2 separate regions of the Mus musculus genome follow, and region 2 is reported to be linked to region 1. Evidence: microRNA targets listed by miRTarBase, many of them from high-throughput screens and not tested one by one. Region 1 holds a microRNA gene; the other region holds the end of a gene's coding sequence.
What was found. Region 1 holds the annotated microRNA mmu-miR-384-5p (UGUAAACAAUUCCUAGGCAAUGU, at 2,016-2,038, opposite strand). A microRNA usually pairs through its seed, bases 2 to 8, with sites in the 3' UTR of a target mRNA and lowers its output. Matches are read on the target gene's strand: a 7mer-m8 pairs with bases 2 to 8, a 7mer-A1 pairs with bases 2 to 7 and ends in A, and an 8mer does both.

Region 1 (3,152 bases):
TCTACATATCAAACCTCATGTATGGTTCAAAGAGTATAGCAGCATGACTGGAGAGATTCCCTATGAAACATCAAGGACTGTGAAGATGAAGGTCCAGGTCTTTCATTCTGAGTTCAAGATGAAACACAAAACCTTCAAAATGTAAAGTTGGGTTGCCTGAACAATAACATAATGTTCAGTAGTGAGCCAGTGTTTATATTCTACTCGAAGCTGTTAAACCCACACTTGTACTTGTGGGGGTGGAGCATCTCCTGTAATCCAAGCATTGGCAGAATCTGAGGAGTAAAGGTAAAAAGATCAGCAGTACACAGAGATGTTGAAAAATCTGTCTAATCATACCTTTAAGAAATATAGCAAAGAACTTCTGTATTTGTCTTTCTGACAAGGCCTCCTCTTTTTAGACTTCCCTTACCTGCTGCATTGTATGATACAATCCTTCCACTATGTCTCCCACTATGGGTATTTTTGTTGTCCCTCTTCATTTCTTCTATTATTTTTATTTTCTGGACCAATATGTTATTCCTAAGGCACAGTAACAAAGCACTTAAGCTATGCCTGCCTATACAAGACACTCCAAAAACATCCATTCCTTTTACTTGCAACTTAGTGAATGTTATCTACAGTCTTTATCTTCCTATTGTCATACCCAATGCTGACTGTTCAATGGGTAGGAGACACTGAAGTGAATAAGCATATGTTTTCCCAAGGACAGCTAATTTCAAATAGCCTACCTAAATTTTCAGAAGATATATTCTAATTTTTGGTTAGAAAATATGGTCACCATAAGTGTAAGGCATTCTTGAAAATTACACAGTACATAGATCATTGCAATTCAGTTTGAAAGGCAAAATGGACTTAAGTGAATAGAAGCATTAAAAGAAGATACACCAGAGAGGACCAAAACAACTAGATGGACTTTGACAGACAGAAATGCGTTGGGCCTTGGGAAATGGGTCATGTCTGAATACAGTAGGGATGAGACTGGGGTTGAGTGTCATCATCTAACCAAACTGAGGACCATTTAAAATATTGCTCAGCTGTATATTACTATATCAGCCAATGTATACCAGTACAGATGCTGAAATCAATTGTCAAAAGACTTTGTCCATACTTTTGATATTTCTTGATCCAAAGCCCGCATAGCCAGCTCATTTCTTGGCTTCATCTGAGTGGGCTGCCAGGATGGTCCATTTCCACTAGTCAAATAGAAGTCAAGGGAATCCACTTAACTGTCTACATGCAAAGAAACCCAACCAGTGGCTTGATATGATCATAACACTCAAGGCCAAAACTCATTCAAAACTCATTCAACATTTTGTTTTCATTTCTAAATTGATTTAAGAAAAGATACAACCCACAGCTATGCTGATATAAACCAGTAGGCAGATCATTTCAAAATAGTAAATGAAAATAGATAACTATAAATAGTAATCAAGTATACATATTAAATAATGACTATGCAAACATCAACATATTAACATATAAGTGAACAGGGTAAGGTAAAAAATCATGACAGTAAGGTTGATAGATATTATTGTTTCTTTCCCATGACTTATGGAATTAGAATATCAAAATTTGTTTGGAAGTGAGGTTGGAGAAAGGCAATGAAGCTTTAGTTAAAGCTTTTGTAAAGGAGTAAGAAAGTTTAGGGCTTTGGCTCACCTAAGAAGTACAATTGCCTTTGCTCCTAATTATTGATTTTTTTATTTCTAATGCCTCTTAAAATTAGCATGTCTAAAACCCTGCATCACCAAAGTACTATCAAATAATGCAGATACCCTTGGGAACTATGGAAATCAAGTAGTAGTGCTATTATCAGAATTATTAACACCTAGACACATTAACAAATAAATAAGTAGAATTGATTACAAAAACAAATGTCATGATCCAGAGATGTTCTAGGAATGTACAGTTAGCTTCTTGAAGGCTTCCTATGTATTTCAGGAATCTTGCTAGCTGAATATATGTTACAGGCATTGTGAACAATTTCTAGGAATGACTTACCAACATTATACACATTGCCTAGGAATTGTTTACAATTCCTGATTTAACATTCCGCTGCAAGAGAAATAACCAGTTAACTTAAATTTGATCATACACTGGCTTCAAAGCAGAAGGCAGCATTTCTGCAGGCCTGCCATGTAATGGGAAGATTGACTTTTACATAAAACTTAGACAATGGCTAAGTAGCTGGGCTGTTCACGTTGAAGAGTCACATGCAGAAGACAATGCATCAACTGACTGAAGAAAAATGCCAAGGAAAATTCCTTTCATTATTTTTAAAGTGAATTAATTTTACAGCAATCACAAATCCAAACATATAATGCATAAATATTTCAAAAATGAATTAAAATATGTAAGTCTACATTTCTTTCTTTGCACTATTTTTGAACAAATTGCCTACTAGCTATTTTTATTTTTAAATAGATTAGGATCTGTACACTCAAGATATGTACTGAACTGTCTGAAGCAGTCCCCCTGAAAATGTGTTCTGATGTTGCCATTGTTCAGAATAGTTTTAAAATGCTGCTTTGAGAACTAACTGCCTTCCGAGCCAGTTTATGAGTGAGACAGTAACAAAATCACATTGTTTTCTTATCACATTTTAAAACTTAGCTATACAGCATAGTAACTACACAATTTGATTCAACCAGGTTCATCAAAGAAATCAAAAATCCAGCCACATTGTTCCTAAAGCCCTGTCCCAGGCCACCCCGAGAACCTTTACTTAGGCTGGATGCGAGACAGTCTTTCATTCTCCACCCAAGCACCCTAAAGTCATGTCCAGTTTTTGAAAAGTACTGGCTAACATTTGTTTCAAAAATCTAGACTAAACTTTTCCAGTGAACTTTCATGATACACTGTGTTTGTCCAGATGAGGCAGCTAGACTGTAAGCTTCATGACAGCAGTTCACTGCCTTATTCCTAGCACCTATAGCCATGTTTTGGATGTTGTCATTGCTTAACAATATCTGTTGAATGGTAAATGGATGGTTGTAGGGGAGGTGATGATGGATGTATGGATAGATGGATAAAGTTCACTAAAGAGTTATTACAGATATATCTTGGGATATTGTTCTGTAATAGAGTACTTGCCTAGCATATACAAGTTCCTGGGGTCATATCTCCAACATAATAAAATAGATACCACG
Region 2 (3,000 bases), not on the chromosome of region 1:
ACTTGGGGGTTGGGGGGAGGGCTTTGAGGTTTTATACCCTGCTCTATGTCTTGTTTCCTGAAAGCTGAGACAAACTCATCAACTGGCCTCATGGTCTGGTGCCCTGCTTTCACCATCATGATGGATTCTGTCCCTTGAGAGCTGTAAGCCCAAATAAACCCTTTCTCTTTTAGGTTGCTTTTGTCAGAGTATTTTATCACAACAGAAGAGAAAACTAAGACACCTTCTCACTTGTTCACTCATTCACTGGAGAGCTGGAGATTCCAATGCTATTCAAGACAAAACAAGCTCTCTACCCCTCATATAACTCAAGTGTTAGAAATCCTTGTTATACATAACCAAAAAAAAAAAAAAAAAAACCCATACTATTGCTACTTTCATAACTGCTTCTTGTAGTATACTTGATGAGGAAAAAAATAAAGGCCTATGAGCTAGTTAATTTATAATAATTTATAATATCAAATATATACCTTAAAAATACCAAATTTAGGCCCTTACTACACACACACACACACGCACACAAATTACCTATACAAAGAATCCTATTCACTGAAAGATAAATTACTTCCTAAACTCATTAAAATTTCCAACTAGTGCCACAAATATCAAAAATAATTGCTTCTCTCAGATCCAGCACACTTTCTGTAATGAGACTAAAATTTTTTTACTTCAAAGCTAATATGTAAACTGTACTAAGCATTATTTCTCTAATGTCTTCAAGGAAGTGAATTTCAATAACTGTAATAGCTGTTGATATAAACTTGTGTCAGGTCATTTTGTTAAGTCAAAATTGCATTTGAAGTATAAACAAACTGTTTTGAACTCTTTATAAAGGGGATATGGAGTTTATACCAAACCAGTGTTAATGAACAGAAAGGTGATTCACAAAACAAAAACATCTACAGGCACATTTTTAAGTATATAAATAGATATTTATTCCATCTCTAAATTTTGAGTTTATTTCAATATTGGTTTCTAATTTATTATGAACAATTTAACGCCATTATTTAACAGTTTAAAATACTTCCATAGAAAAAGACCAAGCTTAATTTAAAAGTTTTCTCTTTTACAATGATTATCAATTTATTTTTAGAATAATGATGTTAGAACATCTAGGGATAAAGATACACTGAGATTAGATTTAAAGCAATTTGACTCAATGAATATAGGAAATCACAAGATTCATTTTTGGGAAATAATGAGGTATTCATTGATTATAAAAAAGAAAGGAAGCTATTTTTCTATAATACATTTACTGGTCAGATACAGAAAGTATTCTCTGTTGGGGTATGTACATATATACATATATATATGTAAACTAATGGGTAATTCATTAGCTTACAAGACAATGGCTTGGACCATGTATATAGGATCACATCACGGCAAGAGTTCAGAGGAGATTTTGCCCAAGGGTCAATTCTGGGATAGCCTTTTATAACTCCACTCTTGGCCAGAATTAGTCAGTGGACATATGAGGACTAATTAATCCTTCCCAAGGGCATACTCTTCCCCCAACAGGCTCCACCTGTCAACCACCAACTCCATTGCCATATTGGGGATTATGCTTCCTAACACATAAAACCTTAAGACAAACCATATCCTAACAATATTCAAAGCATATGAGCACGTTCTGACAGAAACCTCAAGGACTAATCATTAGGTAGGAGCCTCTTTCATACAAAGATAAACCACACCAAACGTTCTTGAAGTATTAAAAACAGCTTGTCCTTTCACCATGAGGAAGAAGCTGGGTGCAAACTAGTCATAAATGCCCATCTGCCAAGCCTCTTGGAAATGGATACTCTTCTCAATGATTCTCAGAATGTGCAACCAGGATGAGCCAAGTCAGCATTTATTAAATGTACATATCTGCACATATCCACACACTGGCCAGGTACGGAAAGTGGGCAACGTGAGAAAGTATACTGTATGAGCATTCATAATCTACTGGAATAAATAACGCCCTAAGTAATTGATAAGGGGTGGTTGAGAGCTAAAGACATGATAGGGAGCTATGGGAAATCACTTTCAAAATTAATTTTGATAAAAGAGGAGGTAATTGGAGAGAGATACTAGCTGACATGAGGACAATGACTGACACTGAACATTTCAGATTTTATAAAACGCTGGAACACTTTCTATTGAGTTGTCCCTGCCACCCATAAGGTACCAGGTGAGCCATTTCTTTTCATCTGTATGCGCCATCAATTTCTTGAAGCTCTTGTCATGCATCAGTCATTATAATCACTATTTTCACACACTATGGAAATTAAAAATGCTAAACAGACTGAAATAAATAGATCCAAGTTTGGCTAAATAATATTAGCATTTTAATGTAACAAACAATAGAGATTTGATCAAGATTTTTATTAAGGTACAGTACATTACAACTTTTGTCCCAGTAAGGGTTTTATTTTGTTTGTTTTGTTTTGTTTTTTAAGTTTTAGAGTAATATGATATAAAAATCTATCTGGCCATATTACTTCTTGAGTTTCTTTTGGGCAGCTTTCTTCTTGACCATCTGTAATCGCTTCATTGCGTTGAGCTGTGATTCTTGAGAAGTTGGACCTTTAAGAGATGCTGAGGTACTGCTGCTGGTCTCTGATGTGGCTTTGCTGGTGGTACTTCCACTGGGCCCCGTTGTAGCACTATTTCCATTCCCACTCAATTGGCTGCTGCCTCCAGGAACTAAACTACTAGGACTAGGAAGACCCACTTTGCTGACGTTATCACAACTCACTGAGCGACTCAGGCCAGTCTTGCCTAAGGTTAGTGGTGGAAGCGGTTTCAACGGGACAGAGGGGCTAGTGCTGTTACCAGAACCTATTTTGGAACCTATTCCACCTTTGGATGATGTTGCCAGACCAGTCAAACCCACAGGCTTCTGGTTAGAGGATGAGGCAGCAGGTTTTCCACTACTGTTTTGTGCTGCTGAATTCAATTTTGCTGTTGATGGACCAGCTGAAGAAGTTTTGGCTGCAAAAGCTGCCCATCCAGTTA

Region 2: miRTarBase lists Ints12 as a target of mmu-miR-384-5p. Seed matches in the 3' UTR shown: 7mer-A1 at 1,313-1,319.

The regions. Positions count from the first base shown.
Region 1 is chrX:105,342,317-105,345,468 of GRCm38, forward strand. Mir384 (microRNA 384) reads right to left here and starts at 2,053; the gene lies at 1,966-2,053.
Region 2 is chr3:133,108,899-133,111,898 of GRCm38, reverse strand. It overlaps Ints12 (integrator complex subunit 12), which reads right to left. Exons shown (of 7, transcript NM_027927.4): 7 at 911-3,000. The coding sequence ends at 2,480. Among named protein-coding and RNA genes, the nearest start is that of Ints12, 19 kb to the right of the region's middle.